2 linked regions of the Caenorhabditis elegans genome follow. The protein of the gene in region 2 interacts with the protein of the main gene of each other region in a pairwise test. Each region holds a gene or a part of one and is shown on either strand. Other genes may lie near its edges.

Region 1 (6,406 bases), 2.8 Mb from region 2:
CTCTATGGTATTAAAATCTATAACGAGATAATAGTACTTCAAATAATTTTCAACTTGGTAAAGTTTCAGCCGAACACCTGGATTTGGATCCAAGCGAGTCTCAGACAAGCTTGCACAATTATCTCCTGCTGCTCAAAAGTTGGCAACCAAGAAGCTTGGATTAAAAATGTTACCTGCTCACAAATCTCCTTTCGCCTCGCCGAAAATCATGTCGAATTGGTCAAGACCGTCAAGTTCAAAGCGATCCACAACTCCTGGTTCTGCATGGAGTCGTGGTTCTACTACACCTGGATCATCTTGGAGCCAAGGAGCACAAACTCCTGGCACACCTGGGATTGAATCTATGATCCGAAGAAAAGGGGATAACGTCGGACCTTCAACATCAGCCGGAGCTGCAGATAGAGCAAATGCTGGAGACTTTTTCTAATATTATAAGATTAGTATAATTTAGATCTGTATATTTTGTTCTCATGTGCCTTATAGACACGGTTTATTATTTATGACAATGGCCTAATAATTGATAGTAAATTCATTTATTATAATTTTTAATTTTTAAATTTCAGCACCATATAACATTTTAGAAGATTGAAAAACAAATGGAGAAAAGGCATTCAGAAGGTGAACAGAACCCGTTTGTGGGATTTTCAGAAAGTTGAAAAAATAACTGCAGAAGCCTGAAGCATAATTGAAGCATTTAGGGGAAATGTGTGAGCAAGAGCAGGTCATGGAGAGATAGAAAATGTGCGTGGGTTTGGAAATATTAAGAAAGTCGGTGCAATCCGGTAGGAAGTTTATGTGGTTGAACATAATTTGCAGGTAGCATTCCCCATTGAAGAGTTCGTTGAACTGTTCCTGTCATCCATCCATCATCAATTTTCTCGCAGTTCACGATGATATCACCTTCGAGGAATGAAATCTGGAATCAAATATTTTAGATGGTTGAATAAATTTTCATCGTGAAACTGGTTGAAAACCTAATTTAAATTTACCTCGTCTTTATCAGCAGCAGCGTAATCATAAATTGCCTTAACTGCAAATCCAGCTTTTCCAGTCGGTGAAATTGTGCTTTGTGGAGAAGAAAGTGTTGAATGTGGAGATGTTGAAGATATACTATTTGATGATGGAGGTGGAGCTCCTGCAAAATCCGCACAAAATCTTGCCGGACCTTTATCCACTTGAGCCTCTGCAACAAGCGGTTAGTTTCAATTAATGACAGATCAAAATTATTCAAAATGAGCTTTTTAAAAGATTATTTCTTCCACAAAACGAATTAATAAGTACCAAAACGTGCAAAAAATTTGTGTGGATTACAAATGAGCAAATCATTCAAACAAAAGCCAAAAAAAAAAACAAAATCCTTACTCAAATATCCAAGTTTCTCGGAATTTCTCGGTTGAGCAGCAGCTGTACCCCATTGTCCGTTCATTGGATCATAGTCAGCAATACTTCCGATTGATTTTTGTGGTGTTGGAGATACTGAAAGCGAAGAAAAATAACAATGCACAACACAAAAGCTTTTAGAAAATTACACATGAAGCACAACGAAAAATTTGGACTTTATATAACTAGATACCATAAATTAGACAAGGCTTAGGCTTGGCGTCAGTGGGGGAGCGTTAGCTCCCCCACTGACGCGCGATAAAAGTGGCTATTTAGGCTGAAGCCGCGCCATACCGCCGGTGTGTCATAAGGATTTCCAATATTTTATTCCAGTTGGGCATCCTAGTATGTTTTTCGGCCCTTTAGGCTTAAGTGTGTCATAAGGATTTCCAATATTTTATTCCAGTTGGGCATCCTAGTTTTTTTTCGGGCCCTTAGGCTTAAGTGTGTCATAAGGATTTCCTATATTTTATTCCAGTTGGGCACCCTAAGTCTAAATAGCTCTTTTTCTTTTCTTTTGCGCTCCAAGCGCAAGGAAAAACCTTATTGTAACTTTTTAAGAGGTTAGGCTTAGGCTTAGGCTTAGACTTAGGCTAGGCTTAGACTGAGACCTAGCATTATCTTAATTTTTGGTCAAATAATGTATCCGTACAAAAATCAGCAACAAAATCAGCAATAACTTTTATAGGCATTCAATCAGTTTTTCAATACACAAGGTGCTCTTTTTGGATGCTCATTAATCAATTCAATTGCTAACTAACCTGCTCCACCTTGCTCTGTTGAGTAGATCAAATGCGTATTTGCGGCTACTGCTTGTGTTGGAGCCGAATATGATTGATGGTTCATTGGAGAGATTGGAGCTGCAATAAATGGTTAGTGGAAAAAAAAAGTGAGTTGAAAAATGGAGAAGATTGATTTGTTGGAAATAATTCTTTAATTAAATGTATTCTTTATTGAAAAAATCAGTTTGTCATGGTTAATGTAGGATTTGAATAGATAGAAAAATAATAGTCATGATCAGAAATCGAACTGAAAGGAAAATTAAGCTTTAACAGTTTTGGCTGGCCCTTTCTTAAAAGTCGATTTGACTGCTTTCGGCTTTTGGTCAATAACTGGGACGGATGGAGCTGGAGTGGGCTCAGTGGGTTGTGGTGGAACAACAACACCTGAAGGTGTATTTTGTATGAAACAAATGAAGAGATTTGAGAAATAAGTGAACATTAGGACATTGATATGACACGAAAAGAAGTTGAAAATTAAAGTTCAATCTAAAAAGTATTTTCACTCAAAGCCATTTTGGAAAGTTTTCTATAATTCTATATACTAACTGAATGAAGAATTCAGCTTTCTAGAAACAACACTGCAAGTTTGCTTTTTCAATTGTAGAACATCTAAGATATTCTTCTTTAAAAACAGTGTTATTTTTTTAGAAGAAAACTCTGTTATCTGTTTGGCCTAAAAAAGTATGTACCTGGCTGAAAAGTTGGCAAAGTTTAGTCCAAATCTGGACAAAACTTAAGTTTAGATTAACCTAATCCTGATAAAAATATTTGATTCAAAATTTGTCATGTCAAATTTGGCTATATATATTGTTAGACCAATTTTGGACTGAATATTGGCGCGACCTAGAGCAACAACCAAGTTAATACTTTTGCCAAAATTTGGCAAGAACTTGTCCCACATAGTTTTTACAATTTTCAATAAGCGAGAGTCTTTAGTAATTTTCTTTCAGCTTTGAGCAAGAACACTTTAAGATTGATTATAAATATCTGCTCTAGAATTATGGCTAGCTGAAAAAAGCAAAGATGAGGTAGAAGAAAACAAACAAAACGTATCTAATCTAGATATCGATATACCATATTTCCCCTCAAAATGTGCCAAAAGTGTACAAAATGTTTCCAGTACAGTTTCAGAGAATATGGTAAATATGAAAAAAGAAACATTGAAAACTAATTCTAAAAAAAAAGCGAATTCTATCTAGGATATACAATCACCGGAATTTGCCAATAATCATCGTCTTCTTCTTCCTCATCAACTTCTTTTTCTTCATACTTCTCTTCAGTTTCTTGAACCATTGCCACTCCAATTCCATACACAACTCCTCCATTTCCAGTGACCAGTTGATAAACTGGCAGTAAAAAGCGATACAAAAACAATAAGAGAAAAGTGAGGAAAATTGAAAAAAGAATTAAAAGTTTTTCCCGTGCAAGACTTTTGACATAACTTGGACGATACAATTCTCAAGTCCATGGGGACAACAAAATGGAAGAACAACTTACTTGGAGTTGGGTTTGGTGAGATTTCCTCTTTTGGACGGACTTCTTCTTGACGAGCTTTTTGGTCGAGAACTCCGTGATAGGAAACATTTGATTGAACCTTAAAATAGCATTATTCTATTCTATCTTTAAAAATTTATTTCCAACCTGAGTATTTTTCTTCAGTCTTTCCATCTCTGGATCATCAGCAATTTCGATCTTTGTTCCCTTCATTTTCTCGTATTCGGCGTGGTATTTGATCTAAAATTTCAGATTATGAAAATTTGAAAATCAGTTATAGGAAGTAGCAGGTTTTATTGAATAAAACTAGCTATTTTGTTTATAGTTTTTTTTGTGTTTTTTCGAAATTTTGGAAACTCGAAGAATTTGAAAATTTCGTATATTTTATAAACTCAAATTTGAGTTAATTTTTACATTTTTAGTATGGAAAATTCTCATTATATACTAAGATGAACATTATATTAGAACTCTTCAAGAAAACTTGATTTACAGTAGTTTCCGTGGCGAGATCCTTTTTTTGAGAATCCATAATTTGACACCACTACAAATTTTTTAAGTGCCGAATTCGACAAAATTTATTTGTGTAGATTTTATAATATTTTTGATTTTGATTTTACAAATATTTTACAGATATTTTTTGGAAGAATTTTAAAAACTCTTTACAATTTTTGGGATAACATTCTCAAATGTTATATTTTTTAATTATAAATGAGATTTATGGGGAGACGATTTATTTTTTCTCTAAATTTTTTGCAAAAACTTACGTTACTCTGATTTTTAGTATTCTCTGCGATTCTTCTCATTTCTGGAGTATCCGCCATCACTGAAGCCACGGTTTTTGGATAATGTCTGAAAATAGTTGAAAATTTAGAAATTGAAATATTCTCATAAAAACTAACGGATCACAATACGGTCTCTTGTCGTATCCCTTATAGTTTTTCATATTCAATGTCATTCCGCAAACAGTGCATTTGAAGCATTGCTTGTGCCAAACTTTATCAAGACATTTCAGTTCCTCAACTGGATATACCGTCTTCCCGCAATCTTCGCGAGCACACTTTTTGCTCATTTTCTGGAAATAAAAACTGTAGAATATGAAGATTGAAGATATTTGAATAAACTAGAAAAAAATACAAATAGAAATCATAATAATGTTTTTGTAAATTGGCAAAAATTGGTAAAATTCATAAGAGTTTTGAGAATTGTCACATATTTTTACCCTATCAGAATAAAAACATATATTTTTGGGTTTATAAAATTATGTGTGGTAAAATTAAAAGTTGCCAGTTTAAATAAATCAAATTTGGGTTTTTCGGAAAATTTTAATATTAAATCTGTCAATTTGAGGTATTATCTTTGCTGAACCTTAATCTTTATAATTCTAACTTTTAAGACAAAACAAAATTTTTTTTTAATTTATAATTTGGAAATACTTTCCAAATTCTATGCTTTTTGGAAAGTTTCACCCTTGGACGGGAACGAAAGTTGTATGGCATAAATGATAGATAAGGCGAAACAAAGAAACATAGACAGATAGAGTAAATAAATTGAATGGTTAGGTTAGGTTGGATGTAGAATGGTAGGAAAATGACGGATAGACAAAAAAATGTATGAGTAAAAGTAAACGAGGCGAGAAACGAACGAGGGATGAAATGGGCGGATAGGGTGATTGTACAAAGATTTCGGGTAAAAAATTGAGAAATAGCGGGAAAGAAGAATGTGTTATTTATTCATGGAGCCCCCTTCTTCACTCCCCGACAAGACACTACACACAACTCTCACACATTTATGTTTGTGCTCATTTTGACTTTCCATACTCACATTGTTATCACACATATCAGTGAAATCAGGGAACTTGGTTTGTTTTGGCAAACGATTAAGTTGCGGTAAACGTATTGTTGGTTTGGGAAGAAAATGAAAAATGTATTATAATATATGAACAAAAGTGTAGTGGAGGCGATATGAATAATATAATAATATTTAATAATATATATATATATATATATATATATATATATATAATATTTCCCGAAAATTTAAATGTCCTCCATTTCTTTTTTTGCGATTTTCGGAGCCCAACTATAGTTTTTGCTTCAATTAATATTCAATTTTACAGAGAACCGGAAAAATTATTTTGATTTGAAGGAGTTTTTGTTTTAAATGTTCGGTAAATTACGAAATAATACTTTTATAATGAGTCCAAATTTCAAAAAAATGAGCAGGCATCTGTCCATTTTTGAAAGTAGTTCAAAAGGATTGTAGATGACCTCTCAAGAAACTATTAAAAAAGAAGAAGACGAAGCAAAGGGTACTAGTCTATTGAGAAGCTCATTTTCGAAAAAGTAGTTTTGAGTTTAAAATAGCTCCCTCCACATAAGAAAGATACGGGTCGCATCCTCGGAGCCGGCGGCGAAGAGAAGATGGGGAAGCGGTGTAAAGTGAAAAGTGAACACTTGGAAGAAGCCGTGCATACAACATGTTGATGATGCATCATCATTTTGTATGAAATTTCAAACGTTTTTTTTTTATATTGAAACCCAATTTGGAAAAAAAATGTATTGAAGCTGAACGGAATTCGAAAAATGTGCAAAAAACGACGTTGAAAAACTTTTGTAAGTTTTGTTTAAAATTGTTTGTAAATTTTTCTAGGCAATTTGAATAAACCGCAGGCTTAGGCACCAGAAAAGAGACATATTTACCCAAGAACACATGATTTTGGTTTTTTGCAATCCTTGATAGAAACTTAAACA
Region 2 (4,941 bases):
AAAAATTAAGTAAACGATAAAGGTAGAATTAAGAAATATAGACGAAAAAACATCCTAAATTTATTAATTTGCATGGCGATGTGAAATAGGCAAATATAACACCACATTTCCTTAAGTTTTCAATATTTCAGTAATTTTTAATGGAAAAATCACCGCAAAACGAAAAAAAAATGGAAAAAATTCGCTTCACGCAAAAGAGAAAAGAGACCCACACGCATTAACGTTTGATACTCAGCCAACTATTCGCTGCTCGTCTCTTCTGTGTGAGACCCATAGGGGTCACATCGATTTACGAGGCCAATCGATTTATTTTTGATTTTGAAGTTTGTTATTCTTGCTTTTGCTCTTCTATTTTTGACTTGCTTTTTCGTTTTTTGTACGAGTTTTATTGTTTTCTTGGCGGATCTTAAGGTTTTCAAGGTTTCGCGGTAGAAATGTACAGCATTGGACGTGTTTTTTTCAGTTAACTCTGGTTGGCACTAAATATTATCCCAATTCCTGTTGTAAGGTTTATACTTCTCTTTGTTTGTAGGACATTTTGATATAATCAACCATTTATTCACGTTTTCCATAACATTTAGAGTTCATTTTTAACAGCTTCAACAATTGTTTCCTGAAGTGGCACAGAAGCCTCTTTAATTTGAGAAGAGAGCGAAACTAGGGTTTCCCTGAGTAATGCATTATCTGATCTCATTTGTAGGATGTAGGAAAATTGAAAGATCAAAAACAGAAAGAGAATAAGAGTTATTATAGGCAAGTAGATGTTGAAACCTCCGAGAGAAAATCCCTCTGGTTTGCTCAATAATTGTTGCTGCTGGAGTAGAAAGCTTGATCTTCTTTCCTCTGGCTGATCAAGCTTTAAATTTTCTGACAATCTACATTTGAATTTGAATTCTGCCTTGTTGCTTGCTGATTTGAACTGTTCAGAGAAGCTTTCAACGTCTGTTGATGACGATTCCATTGTAAGAAGCAGAAACTTTTCTTTGTTCCACGAGTGTCGGTACTCTAAAAGCTTATGCAATATTATTTTATCATATCATTCCTATTCTTCCCTCACCATATTGAAGATAAACTCTGATGATTTCCGTAGTTCCAGGCTGTACTATTCCAGAACTAGGACGAACGCGGAATTTTTCAGGCGAAGTTGTTTTGAATTTGAACATGATCGGTGTGTCCGAAGACTGATTCTTGACAAGGACGACATCAAGCAAGTCATTTTCTCCGTCGAGTTTCTCAAGTCGTAATTCATCTCTCGGACTGAAAGAACACCATGTTTCAAGTATCACACAAAGTCAAACTTACGTTATTGACACAAAGTCATTGGACGACCAATCGTCACTTGGTGCGTTAACTCGGTTCTCAATAAGTGGTCGAAGTGATGGTGGGATATGCGATTTTCTGCTTTTCGGTCCGCGACTTGATCTTCTGGACAAAGAAGGAGCTCGTTTTGTTGTAGATTCCTCGTCGAACTTGACATTCTAAAATTAGGTGGTAATTAGACGTCTTACCAAATAATTTACCCTAAATTGTGTCAAGTTATGCATACTCAACTTTTCCCAAGATTTGAAAATCTTATTAATTTAGTTATATAGTGTCAGTCTTAAAATGTTGGCAATAGGTAATTCGTTACATCTAAAATACATTCTTCATGAGAAATATAAGAAACGTACTCTTTTCTGAAACGACGAGAAGTCAAATTCAGTTACGTTGTTATTTGTAGAATCGTCGATAGAGTGCATTCGTTGTTGAAGTAATTTTGGTGAAGGTTTTGGTGGCGGTGGTGGTGGAAGGCATTTGGCAAGCTCGTCCATGGTGAATTTGAAAGTATCCTTCAAAAAAACCAATGAAAGTAAGAGTAGAAACAGCCGGGGAGCGCTGGTCAGAAAGGCGGCTCAGGAGCCGGCCGCTTGTTACAACACGAAAGAGTTCATTCTCGTATCGCCAGTGGTGGGGTTCAGCGAGTAGTGTTAAACACAAGTGGCCCCCTCTGCACACACAAGATGATGGAAAATGGGGCCTATTTCATGGAAACAACGAAACTGGTGATGGATGTACACAGACGGGATGAAAATGTAAAAAAAGAAGCGGAGCAAAAAAGTCTTACGGTGCCTCCTTGGTGCTCCAACAGATGACTTTTTGGTACGTAATGAGTGACACTGAGCTTGGTGACAAATGTGAGTAAGTCGTGTCTTTGACTCGCAGCTGAAGACTCTAGCCAAGATCCGATTACCTGAAACAATTTCGCATTGTGAGAGTGAAATGGGAAACGTTTGTATCTAATTTCAGTGTGAAATCTCTCTTTTGATAAAGTCAGAATTTCAACTTAAACAAAAACACCTACTTTCCATGAAGCATTCAAGATCGCTGGATTTTCAAAAATCAAAATCGATTCAATTGAGTTTGGATAATAATACTTGGAGGAATGTATAATAAACTTCATTGCGTCAAAGCTCTGAAAATCATTTTTCAGTCTCTGCGTACACTACCCAGTGTCTACCATATTCTTGAGTCCTGTACCAGTCATATCAATGAAAACGGTCAATGGTTGACATCCTTTGTATTCCATGTAGTGACGCTCTATCCAAAATGTAAACAGCTTTTCGAAGCCGTCATCTCCATTTTTATATTTGTTCATCATGATCCATACTGGAATATACATTTATTATTATACATTTGCAATATTTATTGCCGTCTCACACATGTGCCGGTTTTGTAAATCTTTTCCGTGAAGATACATCAGTTGGTTATCTAGTAATGGCTTGAGTGACAGCAGACTGATTCCTGAATTATTGTTGTTAAATTCATCTGAGGTTTTATTTTTTATTTAACTTACTGTCCACTTCAAAGTTTCTTCTCCATTTCAAGCACTCTAACATAATTGCATATGCAATATCTACATCGTAATTAACCGATCCTAAGAACCTGTCTAACCACCAGTCTTCGTGACGTATCCTATGAACGTCATCTGATAGATGCTTTACTGATATTGCCGGATCCTAAATTTAATCCTTTTAAATGTCTACAATATTTTAAATGCTTACTTGTAATATTCTCGATCTCAATTCATGAACTGCCAATAAATTAGTTGGATCTGTGAATGTAGAACTTCGTCTTCGTAGTATTCGAGAGTTCGAAATATCGCTCACCATTCTGAAACAGATAGTTAGAATCCGAAAAAAGCTATTCTCGAATTGTGCAAACGATTTTTAACGAAAGTTCAGGTAAATACAAAAATCTGGCAAAGTTTCTTTGGTTAAATGCGAATGACGTTGTTAGAAATCCAATCTGGTAAATCACAACGAATTTTTACAACCTCGAATTTTGATATATCATATATCAAAGCGGAACTATTTGTGAATATCCAATGGTTTTTTATTGGGGCGCATGAATTTCATCTGATATTACAACGAATTGTGATAAGAGCTTGATACGATGAGTAGAGCACAGAGAGCAACGGCAATTGCCAGCCCCAGAGAATGAAAAATGAAGAAGAGAAGCCACACGAGAAAACAAAAGCGAGGCGAACGGAATAGCTTCCAATTTAGAATGTAGGAGTTGAGCAAGGTAAAAATAATTGAGTTTAAGTTAACAATTAAGTTACATCAAGATAACAAAACTGAATGTTTGAGTTTTGGCATGTGAGATCAGAAAAAACAAACCCTGACTAAAAAATGACGTTTTATTCAATGTACTACTCGCCTTTCTCAAGAGACAAGCGGGTAAAAAACGAAAAGAAAGTATTTCCGAGTACCTGTAAAATGAAGCGAAAGAAAAAGTAAATAGGAACGATATGGATGGTGCTGGCGGATAAATGAATGAGTTTGAGTGTGAGTTCTTTCTCCCCTTCAGTGAGTGCTGCTCATGCCGCGATTTTTTTTGCGTTGTCTCTATCTCTGAAGCTCGCTGGCTGTCATGTTGGATCTGATTTTCGAAATTGTAGCGGAGGATGCTTCCTTCTTCTCTCGCAACATTTTGACATCTGGAATTACTTAATTTTTAGTTTTTTTAGTATCCGGATTTTAGAATAGTACTTTCCAATCAATACAATCAGATTTTAACGATCAAGTTGGTCTAGTTCAAATTTATTAACTTCAAAAGCTTACTTTTTTTCGAATTTCTATTTGCGCCGTTTTGTGATCCTAAAATAATATGAAAGCTCGTAATTTTAGAATAAAAATAACTTTTTTGATAATACCCAGATTTTTCGATTTTTGCTTCAAAAATAAGGTGCCTGGTCTCGACACGTCTTTTTATAAAATACAAAAATACGTCCGCCTTTAAAGAGTACTGTACCTCTAGACTTTTGTTGATACGGGAGTTGCATCGATTTTTCATAGTTTTTCGTAAAAAATATATGTATTTATTTAAGAAAAAAAAAACTGAAATAGAACAATAAACCCACAAATTCTTTCCGATAATGAAGGCAATTATTAAAAAAATCGATGAAAATTCACCATCAATAGTTTTTAGGAATTAATCTTTTACATTTTCCCGGTGGTATGTTACAAGGTTTTATCAAAAATATTGCCAATTATATTTAGACATTCAGTTTCATCTTATCATCATCATCATCCCAATCCATCTTTCGCTATTCGTCAGAATCAATCAGTTATTTTTTCTTTGACAATCAATCACCACACACAATGTTCCGCGTGTAAAAAGAGTACGGTAACCTGGAAGTCCAGAAAACATTGACGGAGACCAGTTTGTTTCGACCGCCCGTGTGTATTTCTTGTCTAGTCCTCCTCGCTCCTTCCATGTTTCGTATTTATGCGCAGTGTTTCCACACACACTGCCGCTTGCCGAGATACGTACGCAACGCCTGTTGGCTGCTGCTGCCAATTTTTGATCATTATCGTACCCCATTGGTTCCTCCTTTTTTCTTGTCCATTTTAGGTTTTGTTCTTTATTATTATCAGTGTATCATTTAGAGATTATAAT

The links. The genes of interacting proteins can lie anywhere in the genome.
Region 1: the proteins of hpo-28 (region 2) and F42H10.3 interact in a two-hybrid assay, tested with the Caenorhabditis elegans proteins (one large-scale study listed by BioGRID).

What each region holds. Positions count from the first base shown.
Region 1 is NC_003281.10:8,482,477-8,488,882, reverse strand, and holds F42H10.3 (LIM and SH3 domain protein F42H10.3), read right to left. Parts: upstream 4,731-6,406; 5' UTR 4,726-4,730; coding exon 4,556-4,725; intron 4,506-4,555; coding exon 4,421-4,505; intron 3,897-4,420; coding exon 3,804-3,896; intron 3,757-3,803; coding exon 3,660-3,756; intron 2,241-3,659; coding exon 2,142-2,240; intron 1,477-2,141; coding exon 1,363-1,476; intron 1,184-1,362; coding exon 990-1,183; intron 917-989; coding exon 761-916; 3' UTR 518-760; downstream 1-517. Other genes in the region: Splicing factor ESS-2, read left to right, coding at 64-427.
Region 2 is NC_003281.10:5,706,175-5,711,115, forward strand, and holds hpo-28 (Major sperm protein), read right to left. Parts: upstream 3,151-4,941; 5' UTR 3,150-3,150; coding exon 3,042-3,149; intron 2,997-3,041; coding exon 2,834-2,996; intron 2,782-2,833; coding exon 2,698-2,781; intron 2,647-2,697; coding exon 2,498-2,646; intron 2,453-2,497; coding exon 2,342-2,452; intron 2,231-2,341; coding exon 2,105-2,230; exon of another isoform or gene 1,830-2,104; coding exon 1,671-1,829; intron 1,479-1,670; coding exon 1,303-1,478; intron 1,258-1,302; coding exon 1,058-1,257; intron 1,006-1,057; coding exon 578-1,005; 3' UTR 543-577; downstream 1-542. Other genes in the region: B0336.12 (uncharacterized protein), read right to left, coding at 3,888-3,971.